Linked DNA regions of Arabidopsis thaliana. The protein of the gene in region 1 purifies or fractionates together with the protein of each later gene. This does not show direct contact. Each region holds a gene or a part of one and is shown in the gene's direction. Other genes may lie near its edges.

Region 1 (9,880 bases):
TGATACAAAACTACCAAACACTTCTTTAGTTTTGTTTTGTCAAACACTATTCTTTCTTTCTATGCAATTATATCTCTGTTGTCTTCATTCTATTTCTCTCTGTACTTCTTTTTTATTTTTCTTCTTAAAATCATATTCGTACATAAATTTTAAATATTGCTATCAGTTGATGAAATTTCTTTTTAGAAAATCATTAATATCTTTTCATCTCGTAGATATAAAATATTCGAATATCCTATGATCATTTCTATTTGACAACATATCCAATGATTATCATAATAATTATTAAATTTACTAACTATGTTAAAGAGTAAGTAGTTAAATAAATAGTTTGGTAGTTAGTATCAGTTATCAAACCAGAGAGAATCTTTTAGACTCGATCAAACAAAGACCTTCCATTACAAAACCTCAAAAGTTGAAGTCAATAAAAATCTCTTACAACCACAACAACTTCTCAGATTCTTCTTCGCTTTGTTGTTCGTTCTCTTCTTCAAGCTCTCTGTCTCTCCAAATGGGCGACACCGGTAGACACAAATGGTTCTCCTTCCACCACCACCGTTCAGCCTCCGCCACAACTATGCCACAACACAACAGCCCCGGCGAAACTCCAACAGAGTTCCTCTGTCCCATCACCGGCTTTTTGATGTCAGACCCCGTCGTCGTCGCTTCTGGTCAAACATTTGAACGTATCTCCGTCCAAGTTTGCCGGAATCTCAGTTTTGCTCCAAAGCTTCACGACGGAACTCAACCAGATTTATCCACCGTAATCCCAAATCTCGCCATGAAATCAACAATTTTAAGCTGGTGCGATCGGAACAAAATGGAACATCCTCGTCCTCCTGATTACGCTTACGTCGAAGGTGTTGTTCGTACCCGAATGGATTCACTTCCTCCGGGTTCGGGTCATCGGATCGCTAAATCCGAAATCTTACCACCGGTGGCTGAGAATTCAAATTCAAATTCAGATTACGATTCCGTGATGGGAGCGATTCGATCTCGTTCAAGGACTTCATTATCGTCAACTACTTCTCTTCCACTTCACCAAACCCGACCCATTAATCACTCGACCCGGATCCAAAGCTCATTCTCTACATCGGATTATTCATCTTTTCCTCCGATGTCACCGGAAGAAGAAGAGATCTACAACAAATTGACAAGTGTTGACACAATCGATCACGAGCAAGGTCTGATTCAGCTAAGGAAGACGACGAGATCAAACGAGACCACGAGAATCTCTCTTTGTACTGATCGGATTCTCTCATTACTCCGATCTCTGATCGTTTCACGGTACAACATCGTGCAAACAAACGCCGCCGCGTCGATTGTTAATCTCTCGTTAGAGAAACCTAACAAATTGAAAATCGTACGGTCAGGATTCGTTCCTTTGTTGATTGATGTTTTGAAATCGGGATCAACGGAGGCGCAAGAGCATGTAATCGGAGCTTTGTTTAGTTTAGCGGTTGAAGAAGAGAACAAGATGGTGATCGGAGTTCTTGGTGCGGTGGAGCCGCTTCTTCACGCGCTTCGTTCATCGGAGAGTGAGAGAGCTCGTCAAGACGCGGCGCTTGCGCTTTATCATTTGTCGTTGATTCCGAATAACCGAAGTAGGCTGGTTAAAGCCGGTGCAGTGCCGATGATGCTGTCTATGATCAGATCCGGTGAATCGGCGAGCAGGATTCTTTTATTACTGTGTAATCTGGCGGCTTGTTCGGAAGGAAAAGGTGCGATGCTTGACGGGAATGCGGTGTCGATACTGGTTGGGAAATTGCGAGAAAGTGGAGGAGCTGAGTCAGACGCGGCGGCGCGTGAGAATTGCGTCGGGGCTTTGTTGACGTTGAGTGTAGGGAATATGAGGTTTAGAGGATTGGCGAGTGAGGCGGGTGCGGAGGAGATTTTGACGGAAATTGTGGAGAGCGAGAGCGGAAGCGGGCGGTTGAAGGAGAAAGCTTCAAAGATTCTACAGACATTGAGAGGCGGAGGGAGTGAATTCGGTGAAGGAGCGGAGGCGCGTGAGTGGAACCGTATGTTGGAAGCGAGTGGGCTAAGTCGTTCTCAGTTTCAACAAGGAGGGCAAAAAGGGGGTTTTGCTTATTCCTCTCAGTTTTAGCTCTATTCAATTTTTTTATTTTCATTTTCTTATCTCTTTTCTTGTTGGTAAATTTTTTTCTCAAATATTTGTTTTTTTTTCACTCTTTTTTGTGACTAATATTTTGGGAGTGAATTTGTAATATCTGATTTTAATCTTCTTTAATTTGTCATTTCTAATGAAACGACAAACAGTAAAATGTTGATTATTTCGTTTGTAAAGAGTTGCTCTTGTTTAATTTGTGAAAACGTTAGACAAACAAAAGTCGTCTCGTGGAGAGTTACTCTGTTTGGTGTACCGTCTTCAGATCTTTTGATTAAAGTACGTAATATAAGATTTGGAACGAAGATTTAGTCGTTGGTCAAATAATTCTAAGGTCAACGTTTCAAAGTGTACCAAGTTGGAATATTCTACAATTATTTTGCCTGAAGTCATGTAATCCAATCGCCAATTTGCCATTCGTCATGCAAACACGTCATGGGTACATAGCCACACATACTCTATGGACCCTATTTATATGTTACGAGAATAGCTGGACGTGTTGAATCTTCTTTCTGCTAGAGAATTAACCACGAGCGAATTACACTAGTGTTAGACAGTGTCTGGTACAACCGTACAAGTGACAACATTCCACTATTAATTAGAAATTAAACTCTTGTTGCATGGTAAGAAACAATTTGTTTTTAGGTTAACTTTTCAGGAGTTATGGACTGAGAGGCCCATACATCTCTCCATGGATATGAAACAATTTTTGATCTTTTGCTTGATGCCTTAACATGCCAGAAATAAAAATGCTAGGTGACATTTTCTTTCTTTTTTATTTTTATTATGCTAGATGACATTATCATTGAGGCATAACCGTTGTATTGGTTTAGTATTGCCGTTGTTGCTTCTCCTGAACTCAGGGACTTTAATTTTATTGAACCGGCCCCTGGATTGAATAAAAAAATAAAATTTTGCACCCAAAACCCAAAACAAAAAAAAAAGGAACCGGATCTAATTTATACCGAGAATTTAGTCAACCGGCCCAGATTTCACTAAATTTTGTGGGTAAGAAATAAATCACTTCAAAACAAGAAGAGTAAACCGATCTGAATATTGCACCGGTCAGTCGTTTTCCTACGAGATGAGTAAAGCCCAAAAACGGAAACGCCTAAACAAATACGACGGCGAATCAAAAACTCCGGCCAATAAATCAACCGTCGACGGCGGCAATCCTTACCCTACACTACTTAGACCTACCGCTGAAGAATGCCGAGACGTAAGGGATGCTTTGTTGTCTCTCCATGGATTCCCTCCCGAATTCGCTAATTACCGCCGTCAAAGACTCCGATCATTCTCCGCCGTCGATGATCACGATACACAGTGTAATCTGAAATCTGAGACATTGAATGAAACGGAAGAGGAGAGTGTACTTGATGGGCTTGTTAAGATTCTTCTCTCGCAGAATACAACTGAGAGCAATTCCCAAAGGGCTTTTGCTTCTCTTAAAGCTACATTTCCGAAATGGGATGACGTAAGTGCTATGTATTGTGAAGGTTTAAGTATTGTGATGTTAATTATAGTTATGAGTTTAGGTTAAGATTTAGTTATGGATCAATCATCAATGCATAGAAATAGTTCAATTAAAGCATGTTCTTGGACAAAATTGGGAAACTCTGAGCTTAAAACTCTTTAAGATTTTGGTTAAACGTTTTGAGAAAATGTATATTGCCAATGTAGGTTTTGAATGCTGAGTCTAAATCAATTGAGAATGCTATAAGATGTGGAGGATTGGCACCGAAAAAGGCGGTGTGTATCAAGAACATATTGAACCGTTTGCAGAACGAAAGAGGTAGATTGTGCTTGGAGTATCTGCGAGGTTTATCGGTCGAAGAAGTAAAAACCGAGCTCTCTCATTTTAAAGGAGTAGGACCTAAAACGGTAATAGCCTCGCTCACTCGATAGAAACTATCTTAAGCTTCTTATTCATAGTCCTTTAGACACCTAACTCTTGGTAACGATGTAACGATCATTGGCAGGTTTCTTGTGTTCTGATGTTCAATCTCCAGCACAATGATTTCCCAGTAGACACTCATGTGAGTGTTTCTTGTTTATTCTTGGCTTTTGGTGTTTGTTTTTCATTGAGTCAAGCAGATCACTAATGAGATACAAACCCCGACTGAAACAGGTGTTTGAGATCGCAAAGGCGTTAGGTTGGGTTCCGAAAACCGCAGACAGGAACAAAACGTATGTTCATCTCAACCGCAAGATCCCTGATGAGCTCAAGTTTGATCTGAACTGTCTGTTATATACACATGGTAAGATCTGCAGCAATTGCAAGAAGAATGTTGCTAAACCAAAAGCTAAAGTGGCATCTCCTGATGATTGCCCTCTTGTTGGTTTTTATGATTTAATAGTTTAGATTATCAGAATTAGAACTCTTTTGTTGACTTGTTGCTCTTAATCTGATAAATTATAAAACAGATTATTAAAATGACACAATCGCGTCTGTTCTATACGACATACTCGAGCTCATTAGTTTTGCATCCAATACCAGATTCATAACATCACAACAGAAGAGGTCTACAAATGTATACTATATAACTTCGGGGTCAAAATGAAATTATTCTTAAGGTATGGGTCAAAAACAGAAAACGAAAATTACAATTTAATAAGTTCATTATTGAGAAATTTGCAGAAAAAGACCTTTTCGATTTCGTCTCCATTGATGATATTCGATAGTTAGTGGCTAATTTGCTATCATCTCACTGCTTCAATTTTGGCTCCTCATCGGAAATGGCGTTTTTACTCAACACCTCGATTTCATCTCACCTCCGATCTTCTTCCCAGGTTTTGTTCTTGGATCGAATCGAATCTCTTTTAACGGATATAGTTCGATTCTTATATTTATGACAAAATCGTTTGATCTTTATGCAGAAGACGGATGGTGCTTTAGCTCAATCCCGTCGCGGGTTCCATGTGGAGCTAGGTGCTCGTGAGAAAGCTGTAAGTATCTCTTACATTTATATCTGTTATAGGGTAGGGATCAGGGATCGATTCGGTCAGATTAGATTGTTTAGAAAAGGAGAAAATTTGTTTTGGAAGGATCTTTGTATGTCAAATAGTAATTGTAGGTAGTGTAATTGTTCTGAAAGAGCAATACCGAATCGAAATTAGCTGAGGCAAAGAGGGATATGGCTCCTAGAAGATTTGATTTTTTGATAGTTTCTCTGAGATTCATGTTTTTCAATGGTTGTCTTTGTTGCAGCTCTTGGCTGAGGATGCATCTTTGAGGAGATTCAAGTCGCATAAGAAAGGTGTTCATAGATTGAAAAGAATTGGAGATGTGCTCACAGTTGTCGTTGTCGCTGGTATGTGAAGTTATTTTCTTTACATGATCAGTTTCTTTTTTGTTGTGATTCATCTTGTACCATATAGGATGAATCTGAACTTGGTAGTCACTGATAAAAGTGTTTAGAGATTCACTTTAGGATGTTTTTTGTTGCGATTCATCTTATAACAGATTTTTCTGTTATCGATCAAGAAAAGCTGCAGATGAAAATGTATCCTTAGTTTTCTGAAGATGTTCTTGTGCTTTACCATATTATCTGATCATGTTTTCATATAAACAGTGGAAGTAAATTGGATAGTAGATAATGTAGTAGCTGGGATGGTTTAGATGGTGGTATCTCGCCAATGGTATCTCCATTGAATTAATGTTATTGCATCCTCTGTTTAGATATAATCAGCACTTAGTAGAATAGTGTGTGTAGCTCATATAGTTAGGTGTTGATGACATAGTTTTGTGTGTCTTGAGTTGGATTGCCTTCTGATGTGTGCTTGTTTCAGGATGCTGCTATGAGATCTATGCGAGAGTGATGAGAAAGGAAGCTCAGGCTGCATGAGGAAGCTCATGAGTTTCTTTATCTCCCTTTTTAGCAATCTCAGATATTCATCTTGTTACTCATGTTTGGCTTTTGAATAAGTGAAGAAACGAAAAGGATTTTGTAATTGTCCTATGGCGAAACCTTGTATTTGTCTTCCAGAAATCCAAATCGCTTTACATGGAATCACGAGCTCATTGATTATTGAAATCCAAATTCACTAAAGCATTCTCTGTGCTCTTCTCTTGTAATGTATTGTAGAGTTTAACTTTATCGTTGCTTCTGATACTTCATAGTATTCGATATCGAAAATGATAAGTTTTCTTTTGCTATCCATTTTGCGTTCATACAATTCTTATTCCTCCGGGTTCATGTTCTATTGTCATCAAGCCAGTTTCCGGATTCACAGATTCTATATTACCTTAACAATTTGTCAGTAGTTTAGTGTAACTATTGTAAGAAAAGTTTGTTCTTTTGCTATTACGGAACTTTTAGAATCACATTACAAATTTAGTGAAGGTATCAACCAAAAAATTTCATTTATTTAATTGCTCCTAGAATCGAAACAAAGATATAGCAGTTGTATGAAAGAAACAACACACACAAAGATTCAAGGAAGCATCTGCTGCTTGAGGGATAGATAGCAACTGAATTCGGATCATTCGGGTTGTTCTTCAGATTCCTCAATCTCCAGCTTCTGCAAGGAAAAGAAACATAAAATGGATTTAGCTTTGGATAAGACATTAACAGGGGTAAGATTTGTAGTCCAGAAGGGCATAACACAATGTAAGATTTGTAAGTAAAACTATACACCAAGAGTAAAAGAAAGGTCAAGGGATACAAAAACAAATTAAAGCAAACCATGGATTATTACCACATGGCATCTACCAGTTGAGTTCTCTTAAAATTTGACAGGAACATTAAATTTCTCATAAACAGTTGTAAAATCTTGAGAAAACCATAAACAACCATTGCATTTTCATTTTGATACTGTAAATTCACTTTCTCCATGAAACTAAAAAAGGTGAATGAATATTAGCCAAGGAAACAATTTTAGCAACCTAATGCAAACAATAGCTCTGAATCCAAGACACAGGGGAGAAGAGGATGTTGATTGGCTGGAGTAATGTTCAGAGGCTTCACTCTTAGGTATAGGTCTACTGTGTACCGAGCCTAAGATTGAAGATATCATGGTCGGTGAGTGAGAACTAAACTTATAAGCAGATTGGTTAGTGTGTGGATTTTCCCGGGTTATGGTTGAGAGTCTCTCTCACTAATGAAGTCTCAATGGGTTGTTTTAAATATGTTCTTATCAAGTTCCTCACAACTTCGCACATAAAAGGCCTTCTCTATCAGTTTAAGATATATTATGGACTTAGAACACATATTTAATATCCAAACTGGGACAAGATCTTGCTGCTAGAAAGATAAAGACATTACTAACACAGCTGATCCATTGCGTAGACTAAGTATCTAAACCAGTAATCTCTAACGATGCCAGAGATATCACCATTTCCAGAGAACCAAAGCATGTAGTATATGATTAAAATTTTCCAAATCCTAACAGTTACTGCACAAAAATTTGTTTATCAGATAAGAACTAGCAACAATATAGAAACTTTCATAAACCCTAAATTTGGCCCTCAGGTCAACAGCAATCCCAATGAAATCAAAGAAACTTTCTACAAGTGATCATTTTCATACAGCCGAAGAACCTCAATCATCTAACAAGAAACGAAAATAATAATGTAGAGGAAACGTGGATCCCCCAAATTGACAAGTGAAGGGAGAGAAGAAACATACAGATTGAGCGTTGTGCCAAGAGAGACCACGATAGACATTAAAGGAGAAAGTAGCGGTGAGGTAGATGGTGGCGAGCCCTAGCCCCGCCGTGAAAGCCTTGAACGACCAATCTCCGGCTCTAGTCACTATCCCCATTTCTCTTCTCCTCCTTTTTCAACAAACAAACACCACACCGGATATTTATTATGGTTCGATGCAAATGTGTACCGACTGGTTTGGTTAACATTCGGTTTATTATGTTTCTAGTTAATTCGGTACAATTGGTAAAGGTAACGATTGGTTTCGAATTTGAACAAAAACATGATTTCGAGTGTGAGAAATTGCGGCACAATCCAACGGTTTTGTACAACTTCGATTTCATTGCTCCAGAAACCGGTTGAGGAGAACATTGTCCGTATCTCGAATCAGGTGATGGTCAAATTTGATCCCAACTCTCACCTTAGGAGTCTCATCAATGCAGGGAATTTGCGAGCTGCTCGCCAAGTGTTCGATAAAATGCCCCACGGAGATATTGTTTCATGGACATCCATCATTAAAAGATACGTAACTGCAAACAACTCTGACGAAGCACTGATTTTGTTCTCCGCAATGCGTGTTGTTGATCATGCCGTCTCACCTGATACCTCTGTGCTAAGTGTTGTACTCAAGGCTTGTGGTCAAAGCTCCAATATTGCATATGGAGAATCTTTGCATGCTTATGCGGTGAAAACTTCGCTTCTCAGCTCTGTATATGTGGGAAGTTCTTTACTGGATATGTATAAGAGAGTTGGAAAGATTGATAAGAGTTGCAGAGTCTTTAGCGAAATGCCTTTTAGAAATGCTGTAACATGGACAGCGATTATTACGGGGTTGGTTCACGCTGGTCGTTACAAGGAAGGTCTTACGTACTTTTCTGAAATGTCGAGATCGGAAGAACTATCTGATACTTATACATTTGCTATTGCCTTGAAGGCTTGTGCTGGTTTACGTCAAGTTAAATATGGTAAGGCGATTCATACTCATGTGATAGTGAGAGGCTTTGTTACCACTCTTTGCGTGGCTAACTCACTCGCGACAATGTACACTGAATGTGGGGAAATGCAGGACGGACTTTGTTTGTTTGAAAATATGAGTGAGAGGGATGTGGTTTCGTGGACAAGCCTTATTGTGGCTTACAAGCGAATCGGTCAAGAAGTAAAAGCTGTGGAGACATTTATAAAGATGAGAAATTCTCAAGTCCCTCCTAATGAACAAACTTTTGCATCAATGTTTTCTGCGTGTGCGAGTCTTTCTAGACTTGTGTGGGGCGAGCAGCTCCACTGTAATGTTTTGTCTCTAGGTTTAAATGATTCTTTGTCAGTGAGTAACTCGATGATGAAGATGTATTCTACATGTGGGAATTTAGTCTCTGCTTCTGTTTTGTTTCAAGGAATGAGATGCAGGGACATTATTTCGTGGAGTACCATTATTGGAGGGTACTGTCAAGCCGGTTTTGGAGAAGAAGGTTTTAAGTATTTCTCATGGATGAGACAATCAGGGACAAAACCAACAGATTTTGCTCTTGCTAGTTTGCTGAGTGTTTCAGGAAACATGGCAGTTATTGAGGGAGGCAGGCAAGTTCACGCGCTTGCTCTTTGTTTTGGTTTAGAACAGAACTCCACGGTTCGTAGTAGTCTGATTAATATGTACTCGAAATGTGGAAGTATCAAAGAAGCTTCAATGATATTCGGAGAAACAGATAGAGATGATATTGTTTCTCTGACAGCTATGATCAATGGATATGCAGAACATGGAAAGAGCAAAGAAGCTATTGATCTGTTTGAGAAGAGTCTAAAGGTTGGTTTCAGACCCGACTCTGTAACTTTCATCAGCGTTCTCACCGCCTGCACTCATTCGGGACAGCTTGACCTTGGTTTTCACTATTTCAACATGATGCAAGAGACGTATAATATGAGACCAGCCAAGGAACATTATGGTTGTATGGTTGATCTGTTATGTAGAGCAGGACGGCTAAGTGATGCAGAGAAGATGATCAATGAGATGTCATGGAAGAAAGACGATGTAGTCTGGACCACACTTCTCATTGCGTGTAAGGCCAAAGGAGACATTGAACGTGGGAGAAGGGCTGCTGAGAGGATTCTAGAGC
Region 2 (11,271 bases), on another chromosome or scaffold:
GAGACTAAGGACCAACCATCTCCGTCTGACTGAGTGACTTGTGGTATCACCTTGTCGGAGACCTCCTGATTTTCAACGACCTCAGAAAGTTGCAAAGTTGAGTTCTGTATCTCAACATTTGTATTCACTTTGCTAACTATCACATTGTCAGACACAACCGCTAGAACTTCACCTTCTTCTAATTCCATGACTCTCTCCTTCAATGGAGACTTCGGCTTACTCACACAAACATCCACGAGATGACCCCATTTATTACAACAAGAGCATTTAGGAGGCAACCAAGGATAAACGAACTCCACATTAACATCTTCTTCATCCTCTATACTGAACCTGAAACACTTTGGAACCTCTTGCGAAAGATTAACTTCAACAAATACTTTTGCTTCATCAAACTTAGTGCATAACTCTGTTTCAGGATGAAGTCTAATTGGATTTCCCACTGGACTGGTAAGAAAGCTTAAACCATTCCAGGAGAACATGGAATGGGGAACATTTTTTACTGTAACCCACAATGGCATAGTTTTAGACATGAGTAAAGCTTATGGTCGAATAGAGTGGCTTTTTATTGAACATTTACTAAAGAAAATTGGTTTTTGCGATAAATAGTTTTTTTTGGATAATGTAAAGTGTCACATCGGTTCGATATAAGATTCTAACTAATGGACAGCCTCGAAAGTTTGATAGTCTCTGAAAGAGGCTTAAGGCAAAGAGATCGTTATCACCTTATTTATTTATAATGTACAGAAGTTTTTGTTGCCAATATTCGGAAAGCAAAAAGAAAAAAAACTTTTACAGGAATGAAAGTAACACAAGCAAGTCTCTAGATCTCTCACTAATTATTCTCGGATGATAGCTTTTTCTTTTACAGAATGACAAAAAAGAGCAGTGCGCTGTCGTTTTAGGAATATTAAAAAGGTATGAAGAGGTTTTGGCCAACGAATAAATTTTACAAAATCATCGGTTCAATTCGGACACAAGAAAGAAGATTCACTGAAAGACGAACTTATGAGAACTCTAGAGATCACTAATTTAGGGGGCATGGGCTCTTATTTAGGATTACTGAAAAGCCTAGGAGGCTCCAAAACTAAGATATCTTCTTTTGTGAGAGAGCGCTAACAAGAAAGAATTAATCGTTCGGCAAAATTCTTATCTAGAGGGGGTAAAGAAGTAATGATTAAATCGGTAGCTGCTGCGTTGCCTACTTATGTAATGTATTATTTTAGATTACCAAAGTTGGTAACGTCAAAACTTACGAATGTAGTAGCAAAACTTTGGTTGAGCTCAACTGGAGAAACAAAAGAAATGCAATGGATGGCATGGAAGAAGTTATGCGAGAGAAAATCTAATAGTGGGATTGGTTTTCAGGATGTGGATGATATAATACTGGGTTATTAGCGAAATAAATATGGCGGTTTATTAAGGTTCATGATTCCTTATTTGCAAAGGTTTTTGAAGGGAGCTATTATCAAAAACCAGATCCAATGGATCTGCTCAACCTCTGGTTAACAAAGGGCTTATTAAACGAATAAGCTCTGGATGATCAAATTCAGTATGGAATGATCCCTGGATACCAGCTTAATCCCCGAGGCCAGCTATAAACAATGGTTATATTCATTAGCATATCTTCTTGTCAAGAATTTGATTGATGATCAGACAAACACTTGAAATATAGATTTAATTCAGAATATTCTTGATCCCAAGGATATCCCTTTTGTATTTGCACTACCCATAAGAAAAAATAACAAACCTGATTTTTTGGATTGGCACTTCACGAAGTCTGAAAAATATACGATCGAATCAGGATATTATACGGAGCAAATGACGATAGGTGAAAACCAAGTTTGTTATTTTGGCCCAAATTTTACGGCCTCTCCAAGCCCACTCTTGGAAAGTCCAATGCCCGCTAAAATTGAGACATTTTATTTGGCATGTTATTACTGGTTGTGTGCCTGTTAATTCTTCTATAATACTATCTACAGTGCACGTGTTGAATTATTTATTCAACTGTTGAATCTCCACATTGCACCTGTTGAATAATTAAAAAAACTTACGTGAATTCAACATGTTTATAAATTTTGGACCCACATGTGCCACTTGTTAGTAAGTGAGTGGGAGGTGTGCTTCAAACTCAGAAACGAAGGGTGTACTGTACAAAACTTTTTTTTCATTTTTTTTCGAAGAGTGCCACTTGTTATTGAGATGCTGACACTTGCTATATTTTCTTGGAGATTTTTATTTCATCTTATCTTTTTACAATCAATTATTACATACAAAAGTTTTTTTTTAAAAATATATACTTATATAAAAATTTATGACTTCTATATATACATTTTTGCAGCCATTTTAACAAATAAATCCTATAACTGGACTTATTTACAACCCAATGCCATTAGCATTAATTTTTTTTCCAAAATAATTAATTTTACTTTAAATTCTTAATTTAAATTGTCAATTACATTATCAATCAAATTTAATCCAAACAAACTTCACATTAATCCCTTAAAATTAGCATAAACGTATTTGTTAGCAATATTTTAAAACAAAGTTTTTTGTTTAAATAAATATTATTCTTACTAAACGTTTTTTTGTCTAAATAAATAAACCCTGTATTTGAACTTATTTACAATGTCATGCTATTGGCATTAATTATTTAGAAATTAAAATATTTAATTAACGATTTAAATCTTCTAAATCTTTGCTTTTAGAGTTATTATGTCATTACCTAAAAGGCAAAAAATATATATATTTTTAAATATTATTATTTATATATTTAAACTTTATAAAACATTATTAATATTTAAACAAAAAGTTTAATATATCAAAAAATTTAACATCATTATATAATATATAGTTTAAAAAATCTCAAAAAAAAATCCGTCATATTTTGTGATTCAAAATTTTAAAAATGAACATATATTAACCAATTAGCGAAAAATGTGTGGGTTCAACATCCCGCATCGACTAAAATATTTAGACAATGATTCATAAATAAGATCAACATTAATAAAATAAATGTTTTTTTTGCAGGATGGGTTTTGCGGGACGGGTTTGGCAGGACGTTACTTAATAACAGTTGTAAACTATAAAATAAAAATATTTTATAGATAGATACAATTTACAAATTTTTATATATATACTATCTTTAAAAAATAAATTGTCCCCGCGGTGTACCGCGGGTTAAAATCTAGTTTAAACTCTATAAATGGAGGCTTGGTTCAATTTATTTGGACACATAAAAAAATGTCATTTCTACCATAATTTTCTTATTCTTCTGCCATAAATTCTATATATTATTCTACCATAATGTCATTTTTAATTAATTTAATTTAGTTTTAATAGATATTTTAACTTAATTTGTTTAACAACTATTATTATGCATCACGAAATATAAGATATAAGAAAATAAGAATAAAAGAAATAGTGGGGTTGGGTGTTGAATTTTATTAATAAAAAACATTGGAGTGATAAAAAATTAAAGTAAGGAAGAAAGAGGAAATGATGTGAAATGTTCAAAATTGAGGTGGAGGTGCTGAATATGTTTTTGCATTGTACATAGTTTTAAGCATTTAACTATTGAATTAATATTTTCAATAAGTCATTGTAGATAGTCATAGAGAAAACAATTAATCAATACTATTTTTGAATGCCCACCAGCACTCTAAACTTGCACATTATCACAAATACCAACGGTCCCAGGAATTTTCCAATCTTCATCGGTCTATGTAAACATAGATCATTTATTTTGGAGAACACATTTATATTATTTTATTTTTAGCTTTTCTTGGATTATGTGATACATATGGAAAGCACAAAATGAAAAACTTCACGAAAATATGGATCGAGATCCAAGGGATATTCTCAAACTAGCGAAAAACAAAGACAATGCTTGGACGTTAGCCTGATTGGAGGTTGCAAATGAAATTCAAGCCTCAGTGGCAGTTAAGTCGGTTAATATAAATCTTTCAGGATATCATTGTTTCATTGATGACTCTTGGAAAGATAGTGACAAGTTTTTGGGCATGGGATGGTTCTGTATTTTACCAAATGAAGGACATCCAACCATGTGTGCTGGAAGCACTCGTCTGGGCAATGAAATGTATGATTGGCCAAGAAAAGCGAAAAGTAACGCTTTTTATAAACTGTAGATCTGATGAAGATGATGTATTTTCCAACAAAATGGCCAACATTCGCTACATACTTAAAGACGATTCAGGAAGATAGTGATGAGTTTGATTTTTTTGATTTATCTCTAATGCTTCGAAATGTAAATGTTAAAACAGACCACTAGATACGGAATGTTCGGATATAACCACATATGATTATCTTTGTAAACAATACTTTTTAGCATTGATTTATTATTTGAGTTAATCTAATAAAGTTGTCGGAAAAAACGGAAAAGTGAGAAGAGAAAAAGTCGAAAATTCAGAAACGGTTTAAAGTTAACCAGGATTCCGGTTTTTATAACAGAACCGATCGGTTTTGTAATTGAGACGAAAACTTCTGATATCACTTAAAAACTTCACAGAAACAACACCTCGATCTCATCGAAGCTCCTCTCTCTTACATATCATCACTTCACATCAACCAAACCTACTTCTGTCTCTCTCTCTCGCTCTCTATCTCTCACGCTCTCACAGGTTTTTTTCTCTCTCTGTCTCTCTCTTGTTCTCCATTTGCGTCTCTGTTTGTTTGATGAGTTTCTGAATGTTAAATGCAGATGTGTTTTGGTTTTCTGTGGAAGTTTTTATATCTCTGTTGATTGAGTTTTTCTCTGATGTTGTTGGGCTCCAAAAAATTCGAAACTTGTATTATCTCTCGTTTAGGTTTCGTGTTCTCTGCATTGATCTGCTTCTTTAATTTGTTAACTATACTCACGTATGTGAAAAATCTGAACTTTGTTTGTTAACTCTAATCCAAATCATTAGAAAAATGCAGATTGAGATTTCTCTAATGCAGTGCTTGAAATTTTGGAAACTAGGGTTCTTGTTATAATGTTTCAAGTAGTGAACTTATGTCAACTTGTGCTTTAGGTTTGATCTGATTCTTAAATTTTGTTTCATATGTGGTCTTTCTTACAATGTTTCTGGATTTGTTGTTTTAGTAGAAGAAAAAATTAGAAAGGTTGTGAGAATGGCGGCTACAGCAGCTTCAAGCTTACAAATTGCTACACGAAGGCCGAGCATGTCTTCGCCTAGCAAAATTCTTAAAGCAGGAACCTACATTGTTGGTGCCAATCCTGGAAACGCTTCATGGGATAAACTTTCATGCACTCGCCAATTATCAAACCTTGGATGTTTGAGAAACCACAGTGCTGTTCCAACTTGTAAGAGACCCTTTTCTTTTTCCACAAGGGCAATGTCTGAATCCAGTGAAAACAAGGCTCCTTCAGGGCTTCCAATTGATTTGAGAGGTTGGTTGGCATATCTTTCTTTGAATTCAGAGAAGACTTGGTGCTATCTGAACTAAGCAAGTGTAAATGGTACAGGGAAAAGAGCTTTCATTGCTGGTATAGCTGATGATAATGGCTATGGTTGGGCCATAGCAAAATCTCTTGCTGCTGCTGGAGCTGAAATATTGGTTGGGACTTGGGTTCCTGTAAGTCATTTTTGGTTCAGCTGCTTTTAGTTTCCTTCATTGCTAAATTATACTAACCTATGAATGGATGGTCTACTAGGCACTTAATATATTTGAGACAAGCTTGAGACGTGGAAAATTCGACCAGTCACGAGTGTAAGGACTTACAACATGATCTTGTCTGGTTTTATGTAATGGGACATTAATTTTTCCATCCATGTATATTCAGGTTGCCTGACGGGTCATTGATGGAGATTAAGAAGGTTTATGCTTTGGATGCTGTGTTTGACAATCCTGAAGATGTGCCTGAAGATGTGAAAACGAATAAGCGATATGCAGGATCGTCAAACTGGACCGTACAGGTATAGATTAGAGATACACAAACACGCCTGCAAGTTAACATGTGTTACTCCTTAATGCTTTTTGTTGCTTAAATCAGGAAGCTGCTGAATGTGTGAAAAAAGATTTTGGAAGCATTGACATTCTTGTCCATTCCCTTGCAAATGGCCCAGAGGTAGAGAACTCGTATCGATTATTGGTTACAGTAAGTGCATTGTGTTGTATACAAACTATTTCCTAATGGTGTTCACATGTGGGTTTAGGTTAGCAAACCTCTTCTGGAGACATCAAGGAAAGGCTATCTCGCTGCTATCTCTGCTTCGAGTTACTCCTTTGTTTCCTTGCTGAGGCATTTTCTGCCAATTATGAACCCAGGCATGTAACAAATTTCGTATGTCTCTTTATTCCTTGTAAATATGTTTTCTTATTTGGTTCTCTATGATGATTTAGGAGGTGCTTCAATATCTCTTACTTACATTGCCTCTGAAAGAATCATTCCTGGGTAAGGATGGCTTCTTCACAAGTTATTCAAAGGAACAAACTAATGCACACACATAACGATGTCAACACATTCTCACAAGTATCTCTTTCATTCTGTGCAGGTATGGTGGAGGTATGAGTTCTGCCAAAGCTGCACTAGAGAGTGACACACGGGTGAGTTTACAATTCTGTTTCGTAAACTCAAAGATGTATCGGTTAGAAGTCTCTTAGTCCAAACTGTGTTTTCAACATAGGTGCTTGCATATGAAGCTGGAAGGAAATCAAACATTAGGGTCAACACCATCTCTGCGGGTAATCCATCTTTCCCTCTTACACGCCTCGTGGTACAAATAACACGCCTCGTCTTTTGAAATTATAAAAGAGTACTACTGTTTGGGTTTCAGGTCCTTTGGGAAGCCGAGCAGCAAAAGCCATTGGGTTCATAGACACCATGATTGAGTATTCCTACAATAATGGGCCTATTCAGAAAACACTGACCGCAGGTTCATTTCCTTCAAACCATCACCTCTCTTGTGCTTGTTTTTTCTTGGAATCTTACGCTTTATAAATGGCGATGATGTAGATGAAGTTGGGAATGCAGCAGCCTTCTTGGCATCTCCATTGGCCTCTGCCATAACCGGTGCAACCATATATGTGGACAATGGTTTGAATGCAATGGGCGTTGCACTGGACAGCCCGGTGTTCAAAGACCTTAACAGCAAGAATTAGAGTCTTGATCGACGACTGGACTCGAGAAATTCCGTGTTTTCGTGAGCTTGCTTGTTTCTTTATGAGTTAGTATGTACGGCATATGTTCCCCATCGGCTGTCTTTTTTTTTCTTTCTTTAAGAGAATAAATTATGGTTCTAGGTTGGGTCATTTAGCAACTATATATGTAGTGATGGATTATTATTCCTCTTATGATTGAAAATTTGCAAGTGAGAAAAACTATCATGTTTCTTGTAAGTTGTCTCCTCCAGTCTCAAATCTCAAACCAATTTACAAGACTAATGAAACCTAACAGCCTCTATTTGCTAACTTTTGAAAGTTGTACATAAACCTCACAAACAATAGCAGTTAATTCTGCACATATCATCTAAATTTGGCTTTAGTAATTGAAACTGGCATAAACTTAGAAGCTCAATATGCTAAATTTGGGAGGAAAACGTTAGCTATCATCTTGAGTTTTTTACATATGTAATCTCAAATATTACTAATAAGTTTAGAGCTCTGTATGGTTGATAATTTACTAATTAGAACCATGACATCAACAATGAAGAATACAAAACATGATGAATCAACGAGAAATAAGAAGCTCTTGAATTCCAGAAAGGAGATAAAAATGACTATTATATTACTTCCCCTCTGGTCACCAGTATCATAGTATTATACATAAAAAAAAAAAAAAATAGCATGTATCTATATTTCATCTTAAAAGCAAAAATTCAATTTTTTATTTAATAAAAATATAGGCGTATGATCTATCTCTTAAATATATTATTTATATAAATAATATTAATTAAAATAAAAAATTTCTAACTTTCTAACAAAAATATCAACGCGGTACACCGCGGGTCAATCTATAAATAATACAAGTTTTAAATCTTTATTAACTCTTAAAAAAATCCAAACCACAAACAAAATAATATTAATTTTCTCGGCGAGGCTTGCAGCGTGGTCGGCAGTCAGCTTCTCCAATGAGAGTTGTTTGCTTGGGACTCCGAGATCTGTGGATCTATTGGATGCTCTGTCTTATAAAGTGTCGGCGAAGGCTCTGGTCTCATTATGTTTCCTGTTGCTTGTAGCGGATCCGTGGTTGTTTGTCTCACTCTGTTTTGCTAGTCCGGTAAGCAGACTTTCCAACCTTTCTTCATAGCCTTTTTGTTAGGGTTAGACGGAATCGCTTTTGTTGGGTTCTTGAGTTGGCTGTAACAGTTTCAGAGATAGTATCGTTTAGCTTCTCTTCTTCTTCGACGGTCTGGGATGTTGAAAAGGCAATGTCTTTCCGGTTTTAGTTGTTTAAGTTTCGTTTTGTCTCTGGCTGTTTTGGATAGAAGATGGGATTCCCATTTTATGCTTTTTGATGAATGAACGAATGCTCGTTGTGGTGATTATCTGGCCTACAAGTTCTTTTGTATTCTTGGGAGATTTCTTTGGTTCACTCTGGTTCGATCTTCTGCTGCTCCTGATTCTTCGAGAATGGTGTTACCCGGTGTGGATTTTTTGCTCCTTGTCTCTGCATTTCAGATCTGATCGAGATCTGGTCCTATGGTTTTGCTTCTATCTAGGTGTAAAATGTCGCCTTGTCTCCGACGTCACCGTATCCGGAAGAAAGTGTGAGGTTCCATGTGTGGTTCTGTCTTTGCGGATTATGAAGATTAGCATAGGAGTTCTGTTACTTTTAGGCAGTTTGGCATCTTTAGAGGAGGATTAGATTATCGATGGTTGGCCACGGGCATCTTCGATATGTACTATCAAAGGATCTCTTGAAGTATGCTTTCCTTGTTGGGTTGGTTTATGGTCCCATTTGGTCGAGTGTTTTGTTTTGGTCTGTTCTTGTAGTGGGGTTCTTCTGCTTTCATTATATGTTTGTATCGGTTTGTAGCCTTGTAGTATTGTTTCTTTGCTTCCCTTACATAGGGCTTTAGACTCCAGAGATATCTTTGTTTTCTGCTAGCATATGGTTGTAATCTTCCAAATATCCTTCATGGTTTTTAATAAAATCTAGATGACAAAAAAAGATCTACCTCTTAAATATATTATTTATATAAATAATATTAATTAAAATAAAAAATTTCTAACTTTCTAACAAAAATATCAACGCGGTACACCGCGGGTCAATCTATAGATAATACAAGTTTTAAATCTTTATTAACTCTAAAAAAACCCAAATCACAAACAAAATAATATTAATTTTAATAATAAACTAATATACAACAAATATAGAACATAAAACATGAATTACTCAAATTTTACAAATATAGAAATTATGTGTCAAGGATATATTATTCGTATATAAATAATAATTCTTATAAAAAATATGTATAATTTTTCAATGAATATATCCATTCGCGGTGTACCGCGGCTTAATATCTTATACGTTAACATTTTGGGGTTAAAACTAAACTTCAAAGTTATTTTTGGTGGGAGAAGAATTTGAAAGTGATTGGCAAATTGAGGATTTTAGCGACATTTTTTTCCTCCATCTTAAAGGATTTTGATCGAAAGGTTGATGTCGACTAGTATTCAACATGGAAATGAATTGCCACCATAAGAAGAAACACTATATGTCCAGCCTTGCCAAAAGCTCAAACAGAAGACTCACAGACGGATTTACAAGACTCATGAAACCAATCTGGTTCCCTCAAAAAAACACTCGGATTAACCAGTTCTTCTTATCCTTAGGCAATGAACTTAAGACCTATAATCTATTTCTACATATTTTTTTCTAAGCTTTTAAGCAACTGAATATCCCTGTTCTTGCAGATGAGCTATTTTGGTTTCATTCTCTCAGCAGAGTTTACACTGAATTGTGATCTCTGGAAGTAGAATAGCCTGAACAAGAGAGTCAAAATTGACACAACAAGCATCAGAAGCCTGCGAACTAGCTAACTAAGAGTGATATAAACATATTCTATCATTTCACAAACTTATATTTATGCAATTACATCTTTATTTCAATCTTCAAAAGAGAATTAGGATCTAATGAATCTACCAGAGCAATTGAAAGTGTAATGTGAACAGTTGCTTACTGTGAGTTTTTGACTGTTTTTGTCTGCTCTGCTTCCAGCTACGCCTAGCAATGTGTAGAGAATGTACGGTGGTTGAAAGGCCGATGCACAGATATATTATATAGAAAGCCTAGCAGGCAGCCAGAGTCGCATTTGCGGTTTTCGTCTCTAGAGGTACCACGTTATTACTTTGGCCTTTACGTGCTATCTGGTTTAAGTGATAGGCCTCCTTAGCCATACCAGCCTTAAGAAGACAAGATAACAAAGAACTCACAGTAATCTTATCCGGTGAACAACCTATCGCAACCATTTTGTGGAAAATGCTAACTGCTTCAAACATCCTTCCTTTCATGCAATGCCCGATTATAAGAATCGTAAATGTGATCTTATCTGGTTTGCATTTCTTCTTCTCCATCTCTTCCACAATAACATTTGCCTCATTGACCTTTCCAGCTTTACAAAACCCATCAATGACAGGGTTGTACATAAATGGTTGTGGAATAATGTCCTTACTAGCTAACTGCCCCAGAAGTTCACGAGCCTTGAGCAGCCTATTCTCGTTACAGAGCGCATTGATAAGAATAGAATAGGTAAATGCATTAGGAAACATTCCTCTGGCATTCATTTCTTCCCAAAGCCTAAAACCTTGGCTCACTTGTCCTACTCTACAATATCCATCAATTAAGGAAGTAAACGTCACTACATCCGGGAAACAGCCAAAAGAAATCATTTTCCCACGAATTTCTTCAGCAGTAAGCATCTCACCAGCTTTCGCATAACCATCAACGAGGACATTAAAAGTCACATTAGTTGGATATATCCCCAAACGAAGCATATCATCTAACAAACTCGACGCTTCACGCATCTTCCCAGCTTTGCAGTACCCTGAGATCATCGAAGTATATGTAACAACATCAGGAGAGCAAACACTACCCGACTTAACATCTTTAAACATCTCACTCGCTTTGTTCAACTCATTACTCTTGCAAAACCCCTGAATAAGAGTATTATACGTAACAATGTCAGGCTCACAACCAAAACCACTCATCACACCCAAAAGCTCTAACGCTTTCTCCGCTTTCCCTACGCCGCACAAACCTCGAATCAAAATGTTAAACGTCTTTGTATCATTACAAGACTGAAATCT
Region 3 (10,813 bases), on another chromosome or scaffold:
AAGCTGATTTATATGATTTGGAGGACTAAATCTTTGTTCTTAAGATGATGATAAAATAACAATCTTTGAGGGATTGCGTTTGTCGGACCACTTTATCATATATTATATGGAAAAAATTGGAAGGCCGTTACAGAAGCCTTACGTAACAGATTTCATCAGATGTGTATTTCTCGTTGACCGGCTGGTCGGTCGGATATGACCCTGGTCAAGTAACTGTTGCTTATGCTTTTCAGGAAGGGTATTTTCGGTATCATTTAAAGTGTTTCTTTACTTTCTAAGGGCATCTTCAAGGCTCAACACCATTTTGGTGTTCAAATTACATCATTTTTAGCACTAAAACTTGTGTTTTTTCCGACCATAACACCAAAAATCATACTAAAAAAAATATATACTATTATATTATCTATTTAAAAGATTTCTTTTATTATTTAATAGTTTTGATTAGTATTTATTACTAGTATAGAATTACATAACATTATAAACATAGTATATTGAAATATATATTTAAAAATACATAAAATTGTAACTATTTTGAGTATTTTCATACATAATAATATAAAAATATCATAACTAAATAAACTATTTCAAGAGATATAATATATTAATGTATCCATTCATTTTTATATTTTATATCTATTAATCATTTGTAATTTTATATTTGTTAATTGAATTTTTATTGATATAATAAGTGAATAGTGTTTAGAGTTGTGAATAGTATCACACCAAATTTGATGTAACACTGTAGCATTACACTAAAATGGTGTGAATTTTAGAGTTCCATTGGAGAGCTTTTAGTGCAAAAATTACACTAAAATGGTGTTTTAGAGTCCCATTGGAGTTGGCCTAAGCCTGCTCCTTCAATGCTCACTTTCTCTTCTATACTGAATTTGTTTTTCTTTTTCTTTTTTCTTCTTTTGTTGACAAGAAGAAATTATGAAAATATACTGATGTCAAAATGAAGAAACTAATTTATATCTTAATTCTTGTGAACAAAATAGTATAATTACCATTGACTAATAATTGTAAACCTTATGTCATAAAACCAAATCTTAAATCCTAAAAACTAAGCTTTAAATCTGAATCCCTACTCAACACACTGGTTATTTCTTTATTTCTTTTTGAGCTTGTCTATGTACTCTTTAAATTAAAAGATTATAGGCTTTGGCTCAAATTATGATGTATTGTATCACAACAACAACAACAACAACAACAACAATGGACAAGAATTTGAAATAGTTCCAAGTCTTGACACATTCTTAGCATTAAACTACGCACAGAAGCAGAGTTGAAGGAGAGAGATGGGTGCTCTGTGTTGCACTAAGGATCGGTCTCAAAGAAGGCGGAGTGGAGAGCCCTCACACATTGCTCTGCCTCTTCATCATTCACTATCAATGAGATGTTTACCTGAAACACACACACACACACACACATATCCCCATTCACTATAACCATAAGTAAACCATATTCATTCACTATCATGTAGCAGCGGATTCCATCTAACCTTAGATGCACCCTGCGAGATCATCTGCACATTCACTCCATTGCTTCTAAATACTTGGAACACCTGTTTTGTCATTCATTCCATTCCCACTAAATTAAAACTTCAAAATTCAAAAGAGAACACAAGACATGTTACTCTCACTCACCTTCTCTAATATGAGTGAGGATTTCTGAACATTTCCTATGAGAGAGATGATTGATCTGCGTTGAAGTAGTTTCACAACAGCAATCTTCTCTAGCTCTTCCACCAAATTATCCAGTTCCTGTTCACACCCAGTCCCTTTAACCAATACCACATATGACCCTCACAAAAGAAACAATCTATCAAAGTCAAAGGAGTATTACATTTACTCGCTGAATTAACTCTCTACCCCAGAGCTTTGCTGGATCCAATGTCAATGATATACTAACTTCACTTGTTGCCACAACATCAACCGATATACCTAAATCTTCAAATGTGGTAAACACCTGCACACGAGACAGTGAGTATGCTTCCAGTGAGATATTAAACAAAGTCGAATAAAGATATCATTATCCAATTATATTACCTTGGCAAGGAAACCATATTGGCCAAGCATACGGGTGCTTGCTATGTCCAACATGGTCACATTACGTTTCAGAACAATGCTGGTTAGCACAGCCTACAAGGAATTAAAGGAGGAAAAGGTCATTGATATTTTGATATAAGGAGTTAAAAAAACACATCTGTTTCACGAACCTTACTCATGTCTCTTGATCTGGTGATGACAGTTCCTGGAGCAGTGGGGTTGTACGAGTTCTTAACCCTCACAGGAATGTCGCCATCTCTTGCTGGCCTCATAGACAGTGGATGCAACACCTGCAATGGAAGAGGAATATGCTCAGCCATCTGACAGAAAAGAACTCATCAGCATAGTGCATAGCTAATCTACGAGATTACCTGGGCACCAAAGTAAGCAAGCTCAGCTGCCTCATCGAACGTTAAGTACGGAACAGATTGAGCTCCAGGATATATGTTAGGATCACAAGTCAAAACTCCATCCACATCTTTCCAAACCTATATTAAAAAATCATTGTTTAACAAAATTTCATCTACATGATGCAATCTTGGCCAAAGCCATCAAATACCTGAATTTCCCGCAGTCCTAGCGCTTTCCCAATCGTTGTAGCTGTCAAATCACTGCCACCCCTACCCAGCGTAGTGATAGCACAAGACCTCCATCCCTGCAGAAACACATGCATACGAGAATGAAGTTTTGTTTTCAAAATTGATACAATAAGCAAAACAACTCTTGTGCAGAACCCATTCCAATTTATAGAATAGATGAGAACCCGAGTTGAGCACCACATATTTCTTGATCCACGAGAACAACATAAAAAGTCAGAAAAATATAAACCTTTCCGAGGTAGCCAGTAACAACAGGGACTGCATTTTCCTTGCTCCAGTCGCCAACAAGTGTTTTTGAGACGGCAGGGTATGTTGCTTCAAGTATATCAGCATTAGTAAAGTCGTCTGTGGTGATAAATCCGATCTCAAATGCATCATACTGCCAACAACAAGCAAACAACTCATCAAGTAATGAACTAAACTCATGTTAGAGTACATACTTGTGAGCATTGACACACTCTCAAGTTTCTGTAATCTGTATGATGAATGCAGCAATTATATGCAGGGCCAAGGTTATGCTAGGACCAGAGTGTTATAAAGCAACATACTTGACGCGCTTTGTGGCCAATTTTATTGAGATACGCAGAGAAAAGCCTTGTGGACATGCACTCTCCAAATGAAACCAAGTAGTCCCTTGTGCGTAAGGTTAGCTCTTTCATCATTGATATGCCTTTGAGAAGCTGGTGTAGTCCTTCTAGGTGTTCTACAAATAAATTAACCAGAAAAACGGATTCAGATAAGAAAAACTCAACTGAATGAGCAAAGCAAAATTCTGAAACTACAATAGGAGAACGAGAACCAAGGTACTTACTTTCAATAACCGTTGTTTCCACTCCAAGCTCATGAGCAGTTCTGAACATAGAGAATTTTATTTCCCATGAGAATAAGGCTAAATTTGGACTGTGAACACTAGATAACAATCAAATACACATGAGATAACATTGTTTTCTTTAACCTTAAATGGAGTTCCTTTATAAAGCTCAATTCTTCAATACTTTCTACGTTAGTGACACCGCAAGTAACAGCCTTCTCTCCAGCCTAACAAAAGCGGAAAACCAAGAAAATAATCACTCTACCGATAACAAAAACGTCATAAGGAAGACGTAGAAAAGATTAGTATAGTTGTATTACCTTCAAAAGCTTATTAGTCGTCTTTCCCATTGCTGATAGCACAATGACGGGCCTCTCATCTGGAAAGCTGAGTATAAGATTGGCAACTTCTTTCATCCTCTCTGCTGATTCCACTGATGAACCGCCAAATTTCATTACACATGTCAACTCTTTGCCAGTTCCGCTTGAATCGCACGTCTCAGGCTCTTTTCTTTGAAGCAAATCGACTCTTAGAGCTTCACAACTAACTCTCAAACCTATATTCCTACAAGAATGCTCTACGTCTCTAAAGACAGCACTACTTGAGGGCAACGTAACTGAAAAACATGCCCCCTTTGAAGCAAACTCAAGCCTCTTTGAACTTAAAGCAAGCCCTGGAGTTTTAACTCCGTACAACTGCAATGAAGCCATAAGCTTGCTAAATCTAAGAGACTTGCGTGTTGTGATCTCGACAAATGGTACAGCTGTGCAATGTGGAAACCTGCAACTTTCAAATTCACAGAAAGAATATCAGATCATTATCAAGGGATCTAAATCTATAAATATAATGAATGAGGTAAAATCATGTTAAGAAATGAATTATGAAAAATTTATTGAACCAATTAATACACTGTAAGTTGACTGACTAATTTTCAGTGAAATCAAACAACCAATACTAATAAACAACATCATAAGAGAAGCACTTGTGAAGCATATAAACCAGAAAATGTGTAAACTTGTGCTTCTTCATCACCCCAAATGCAAGAAATGATGAATCATTCGAGAAATTAGAAAAGAAAACAGCAAAACCCAGAGAAACCAAAGTAAATCGAGAAATGTAGACAATTACCTTAACTGGATTTCCGTGAAGAAAAACAGATAAAAATTGGAACTTTCCTTCGGACACAGCTGAAACGACCTGTCGGATTCGCCGGCCAGGCTCCGAAGGAAATAGTACTAATGTTTTTTTTTGGGTTTAAGGAGTGAAAAAGCGGCTTAAGACTCTATTAGAGAAGGAAGAGAACGTGAGACACAAACACTGTTTTGTTTGCCCTTCCCAGAATGGACGGTTCAGATTCAATCTCTGGGTCGAGATACCCTTTCAGCTATTAGTAAGCCACTCTACTAAAATTTGTACTTTGTGTTAATCCATGAAATAATGTTGACATCTTTCTTTTTCTCCTGCATTTTTATTTTTAGATGATAGTACCAAATAAGTGGTTGATGCTGTCAAAATCGTGAGAAAACAAAACTTGGCCCACTCAATCCCAAGAATCAGAAAGAAAATTTTTCATTGATCGATAATTGGATAGGAAAATTGATAACATAAAGAGTACTTGCGACAAAAAAAGAGGAAACACAACAATCCCAAAACTGCCCTTGTTAAAGACCACTTCAAGCATTCTGGTAATGATGGAGTTTATACAGCAAAACTTTTCCGGCAGCGTTCCCCATAGCCATGAAGCCACTTCCGGGGCTGAAGTCTAGGCAGCGAGGGTAATGCATTGTGCTGTTTGGTGGCGGCCAGTTTGAGAAGACGGTTAGGGATGGAACATGGACTAGCTTTACACTGTTTTTGTTCATTGTAGAGACTATAGCTAGAATCTGAGCATCATGGTTGAACTTCATGAAATCTATCTTGGATGTGAGATTGTCCACTGTCTTTATCGGCTTTCTTTTGCCTCCCACAAACTCAGATTTCTTGTAAATGTTTACGATTCCTCTGTCGGTTCCAGAAGCAAACAATGCTCCGTTAAGCGAACTGCAAAGAGAAGTGCCACAAGTGCTGCCTTCATCCACGCCTTTGTATAAGCATTTCATTGTTCTCAGATCCCAGACATAGACTTGCCCGTCACCTCCTGAGCTCAGCAAATGCTTCCCATCTTCACTAAATGCTAAAGACCTAACTGAACCATTCATCTTTAGGGTTCCTATCAGCTCTTTTGTTTTTGTAGACACAAGTAAGATATAACCTTCGTTGCCAACAAAAGCTATGGTGTTAGAGTCTTGTGACACCTCGAAATATTCCAAGCTTTTCTCCTCTCTACCAACCAAAGGGCCAATTTTGTCAAACTTTGCCTTCTCCAAATCAAAGCTGTAAAAGAACTTTCTTCTTCCGGAGACAATGACCTGAGAGCCATTGGGCAAGAAAGCCGCTTTACGAATGGGACAGTCCTCAAGAAAAATGCTCTGGATCTTGGTGTTCCTCTTTCCATCAATCTGGAAAAACCTTAACCGTCGATCCAATCCAGCAGTGAGAAGCAGCTGAGCGTTCTGATGGAAGTGGACAGAGTTTATTGGACCATTTGAAGGATCCGCTGCATTGGCATCCACAAGCTTAGAGTATTCAAGACGACCAGCACACAGCTTGTTACCACGAGACTTCACCACAAGATCTTCATTCGTTCGAAGGATATCATCAACTCCTCCATCCTGAGTATCATCATCATCTGAAGACTCTCCATCAACTATTTGAGAATCTGGCCGAGCCCAATCAGTCCCCGGGTTTAGCTTAGCATGATGAGCCCTCAGCCTTGCAATGTACTCAGACCCAGAGATCAAACCCTCATTCTCCTCTTTCCTTAGCTTCCTTAGACGGTTGACACTAGCTATATCAACGTTTATCTGTTTCTCTTCTTCATCCTCCCAGGCAGCTTCTCCCTTTCTAATTGCCACAACTTGACCATTCTCTTCATCAGAAAGCTCTTCATCATCATCACCATCATCCTCGTAGTCAGGAATCTGCCTCACAGCAGAACGGTCTACATGAAACAAAGCCGAACCATCTTCTTCTTCTTCCTTACCAAACGTAACAGGAGAGTAGAGTGACCCGAATATCAAATTCTCAAGCTTTTTCATTTCAACCAGTTCCGATTCTTCTAGCTTCTGCTTCTCCTTCTCTGTCTTTCTTCTCTTTCCCCTAGTGAGATCATCATCGGACCCAATCTCTTCCTCATCTTCAACATCTTCGTACTGTTTCTTGAGCTCCTCTCTTTTAATACCCTTACTTTTCGGAGCATTCTGAGATAAGCTCATCTTTCAATACCACTAATTCAGAGCTGCATGAAACAAACAACGATAAGATTCGCAAGCTCGTTATCAATCCGTAATTAAGCTCTCATTTCGGGAAGAATTACTACAAAAGCTACTAATTTGACCTAATTCATGCACAAATTTGATTACAATGAAGAAATAACTTACAACGTTGACGAGCAGAGAAACCTTGTAGCCGGTAATTGTCGGCGAGAGAGCTTCTACCCTTCTGGTTGGATTTTTTAGGGTTTTAGAATTTCATTTTCCAACAAAAGATAAACAAATAAAAATTGGAACTTGTCGTTAATACAGCCCTTTAATGGGTCAACGGGTCTTATGTCTCTTGAAAAAGCCCATGGGCCAAGACAGGTAAAATAACAATGTCACTTTCGTAATTATCGCAAAGTATATGCCTTGTTCCATCAGATTCCATTTGCCCAATAAAGCCCGAGTTTCGAGAGTTAATACCTCATTGGTGCTTTTGGTTTTGGCAAAGCGTGAGTGAGATCGGGAATCAAACATCGCCTCCGTCTCTCATTTCAAACGCTATCTCCATCTCCTTCCTCCGCCGCCGCCATGGAATCTCCGAAGAATTCTCTGATCCCGAGCTTCCTCTATTCATCATCTTCATCTCCGAGATCTTTCCTCCTCGACCAGGTGCTCAATTCCAACTCCAACGCTGCATTCGAGAAATCTCCTTCTCCGGCCCCGCGTTCCTCTCCTACGTCGATGATTTCTCGGAAGAATTTCCTTATTGCATCTCCCACCGAGCCAGGGAAGGGGATCGAGATGTATTCACCTGCCTTCTACGCTGCTTGTACCTTTGGTGGAATTCTCAGCTGTGGTCTTACTCACATGACCGTGACTCCTCTCGATCTCGTCAAGTGCAATATGCAGGTATGTAACCTTTAGATCCGTTGTCTTTCGTTTGTTTTCTGAGCTCATGTTTGTGGATCTGTGTTCCTGTGTTGTTTAGGTAGTGAGATCTGTGTTGCTAGATCTGTGATTTGATTTTCTTTATCGCTTTGTTGTTTTCCTGACTATTGGTTTTGTGTTTGATTTCAATATCTGAAGAATTGTTTGATCTCTGATAAACGCATCTTCGTCTATCCATTTCCATGTTATATATGAATCATTCTATTTCAATATACGTTAATATGGTCTGATTTCTGGTTCTTCTTTCGAAATATTGTTACTTGACGTGTTATGTGTTGAATGGTTCACTTGGTCTTGCAAAACTGATATATCTTGTTATCCAGATTGATCCAGCGAAGTACAAGAGCATCTCGTCTGGTTTTGGAATTTTGCTGAAAGAGCAAGGAGTCAAAGGCTTTTTCCGTGGATGGGTTCCTACTCTTTTGGGTTACAGTGCTCAGGGTGCCTGCAAGTTTGGATTCTACGAGTACTTTAAGAAGACTTACTCTGACCTTGCTGGACCTGAGTACACTGCCAAATACAAGACTCTCATCTACCTTGCTGGTTCTGCTTCTGCTGAGATCATTGCCGATATTGCACTTTGCCCATTTGAAGCTGTGAAGGTTCGTGTTCAGACACAGCCTGGATTTGCTAGGGGGATGTCTGATGGATTTCCCAAGTTTATCAAGTCCGAAGGATACGGAGGGTGAGTTTTTCAATACCAATAACATTATCTCCCTTGTTACTGCTAGCCTTTTGGTCTGATTTCTGATTTTTTTGCAGCTTGTATAAGGGTCTTGCTCCACTCTGGGGACGTCAGATTCCTTGTAAGTTCTGGCCTCTATTTTGCAACCTGTTGCACAATCTTTTTTTTTTTTTTTTTTTGTTTATTGATGAAACATATGTAGTTCTTTAAAAGCAAAAGGTGGTGATGATATCTATGAATTTTACAGACACTATGATGAAGTTTGCTTCCTTTGAGACCATTGTTGAGATGATTTACAAGTACGCAATCCCCAACCCAAAGAGTGAGTGCAGCAAAGGTCTGCAACTCGGAGTGAGTTTTGCCGGAGGTTACGTTGCCGGAGTGTTCTGTGCCATCGTTTCTCATCCAGCAGACAATCTAGTGTCATTCCTCAACAACGCTAAGGGAGCAACCGTTGGAGATGTAAGTCACTATGTTTGAATACAATAGCCTAATGCTAGAATGGCTGTGGTTTGGTAGTTGTATACAAGCTATTGATTTCTGTTACGGTAGAAATAATATTTAATGTTTGTAAATGACATGTTGCAGGCGGTGAAGAAGATTGGTATGGTGGGACTGTTCACAAGAGGGCTTCCTCTTAGAATTGTGATGATCGGGACGTTGACTGGAGCACAGTGGGGATTATACGATGCCTTCAAAGTGTTTGTTGGCCTGTAAGTTCCTCTCTCTCTTCACTTACTTTCGTACCTTAATTGTACCTTCAAAATGCAAAACTCTCAATTCTTTTGATTTGGTATTCAGGCCAACCACTGGTGGTGTTGCTCCAGCTCCTGCCATCGCAGCTACTGAAGCCAAAGCCTAAACAATGACGAAAAAGGTTATTAGGAGTTCGATGGGGTAGGATTTTTGTTTGGAAAAATAAGAGAAACCATACGGTGATGAGGAAGAGTGAGTAAGCTCAATTTCTTCCTGATTTGAACTTTATCATTTTTGTTTTTTTTGAAATTTGTGTTCCTGAATTCAGGATAGTGCTCTCTCTCTCTTTACATACTCTCTTCCTATTGTTTCTTGTCCTTTTTTTCTTTGTGTGATGTAATCTTAAAAGATGAGAGGGACACACTCCAAGATAGAGAGAGTGGGCATACACCCACTCACTACTTTTTATTCAGTTTCAGTTGAAATTCTCTTTTGGTTGCTCTATCTATTATTTTACTTTTTTGTTTTAGAGATTATATAAAATCTCGTTTTAAAACATCAAATCATAGATAGATCTTGAATACTAATCATATGTATACGTTTAACCGCTAAGCGCTAACATAAGGAAAATATTATGTAGGCAAATGATTAATAAACATATGATAAAAAAAACAACGTCGCCCACCGTGGGGCTCGAACCCACGACCACAAGGTTAAGAGCCTTGCGCTCTACCAACTGAGCTAGACGGGCTTTGTTGCCCAACTAAGTTACTTAACAGTTTGATCCCAATTAACAGATGTACCCTTGCAATTGGATTCCATTCGTCTAAAGGCTCTAACAACCAACCATCTGTTGTCAAACCAGTAATTTTGAGCGACGACGATTGAGGGACTAAGGACTTGATTGGTTCTCCCTCTACCACCCGCAAACGCTGCGTTTGCGGTTGGTAGCGGTTGTTAGCGATTGACACCAATCATAAAAACCGCTAGATATCGCTTTAAACCGCTCGAAATCGCCAGTTTTCAAAAGCTCCTTTCCGCAAGCGTTTGCGGTTGCGGGCGGTAGCGGTTAGGTTAAAAAGAATAATCTTTTTTTAATTAATTAAAATAATTGTGGCTTCCACCCAAACCCTAATCACTATAATTAAAATAATCTAATCTTTTATATATCTTATTTTTATTAGAAAACCCTAATCAATATATTGTAACTCTATTCTCTCAATTATGGCATCCGATGAAAATCAAAATCAAGAATCAAACATAAGTATCATCTATCCTTTTATTCATTCATTAGCTAGTGTAATTCTTTTACTATTTCATGGCATCGTTGTTTTTATTTTATTTTGTATTGTTTTGAGTTTTTTGATTGAATACATTTTTCGATTTGTTTTCTCGATTAGAAAATCATTTGGCCGGACGAGATGATATATTGTATTTTTGTTTGGTCAAAAAATCAATTTTTCTAATATTATCAGTTTATCATAATATATTGTATTTTTATTTCTTTTAATAGTAATATATTATATTTATTTTGGTTATTTTTATTTAATTACTATCGTACCCGCTGGTTTACCAGTCATAAAATTTTCGCAAACGCATCCATTATCAAACGCTCAACCAGTCGTTCAAAACGCTTGATAACGCAACCGCAACCGCACCCACTGCGTTTAAACCAGTCATGCCCTAAATTAACATAGTGTGAAAGTTGTGCGTGCTTTATTGATTAT

What was found.
Region 2: the proteins of SDH7 (region 1) and MOD1 purify together in Arabidopsis thaliana (affinity purification with mass spectrometry, with the first as the bait; one large-scale study listed by BioGRID). This does not show direct contact.
Region 3: the proteins of SDH7 (region 1) and PHT3;1 purify together in Arabidopsis thaliana (affinity purification with mass spectrometry, with the first as the bait; one large-scale study listed by BioGRID). This does not show direct contact.

Annotation. Positions count from the first base shown.
Region 1 is NC_003074.8:17,643,857-17,653,736, forward strand, and holds SDH7 (succinate dehydrogenase subunit), read left to right. Parts: upstream 1-4,638; 5' UTR 4,639-4,864; coding exon 4,865-4,918; intron 4,919-5,005; coding exon 5,006-5,074; intron 5,075-5,336; coding exon 5,337-5,439; intron 5,440-5,917; coding exon 5,918-5,973; 3' UTR 5,974-6,317; downstream 6,318-9,880. Other genes in the region: PUB39 (PLANT U-BOX 39), read left to right, coding at 512-2,107; AT3G47830 (DNA glycosylase superfamily protein), read left to right, coding at 3,213-3,602, 3,809-4,009, 4,108-4,164, 4,257-4,490; AT3G47836 (uncharacterized protein), read right to left, coding at 6,493-6,649, 7,756-7,793; AT3G47840 (Tetratricopeptide repeat (TPR)-like superfamily protein), read left to right, coding at 8,056-9,880.
Region 2 is NC_003071.7:2,317,746-2,329,016, forward strand, and holds MOD1 (NAD(P)-binding Rossmann-fold superfamily protein), read left to right. Parts: upstream 1-4,469; 5' UTR 4,470-4,637; intron 4,638-5,101; 5' UTR 5,102-5,130; coding exon 5,131-5,410; intron 5,411-5,485; coding exon 5,486-5,595; intron 5,596-5,674; coding exon 5,675-5,730; intron 5,731-5,803; coding exon 5,804-5,936; intron 5,937-6,013; coding exon 6,014-6,088; intron 6,089-6,176; coding exon 6,177-6,288; intron 6,289-6,363; coding exon 6,364-6,415; intron 6,416-6,515; coding exon 6,516-6,567; intron 6,568-6,647; coding exon 6,648-6,705; intron 6,706-6,797; coding exon 6,798-6,896; intron 6,897-6,976; coding exon 6,977-7,122; 3' UTR 7,123-7,452; downstream 7,453-11,271. Other genes in the region: AT2G06000 (Pentatricopeptide repeat (PPR) superfamily protein), read right to left, coding at 10,255-11,271. UniProt on the Arabidopsis thaliana protein: Catalyzes the NAD-dependent reduction of a carbon-carbon double bond in an enoyl moiety that is covalently linked to an acyl carrier protein (ACP). Catalyzes the last reduction step in the de novo synthesis cycle of fatty acids.
Region 3 is NC_003076.8:4,529,498-4,540,310, reverse strand, and holds PHT3;1 (phosphate transporter 3;1), read left to right. Parts: upstream 1-7,191; 5' UTR 7,192-7,345; coding exon 7,346-7,666; intron 7,667-8,028; coding exon 8,029-8,390; intron 8,391-8,467; coding exon 8,468-8,511; intron 8,512-8,637; coding exon 8,638-8,852; intron 8,853-8,978; coding exon 8,979-9,103; intron 9,104-9,191; coding exon 9,192-9,252; 3' UTR 9,253-9,668; downstream 9,669-10,813. Other genes in the region: CARAB-AK-LYS (Aspartate kinase family protein), read right to left, coding at 1,318-1,404, 1,502-1,564, 1,647-1,763, 1,846-1,968, 2,049-2,141, 2,219-2,338, 2,420-2,536, 2,608-2,703 and 5 more; AT5G14050 (Transducin/WD40 repeat-like superfamily protein), read right to left, coding at 5,132-6,772. UniProt on the Arabidopsis thaliana protein: Transport of phosphate groups from the cytosol to the mitochondrial matrix. Mediates salt stress tolerance through an ATP-dependent pathway and via modulation of the gibberellin metabolism.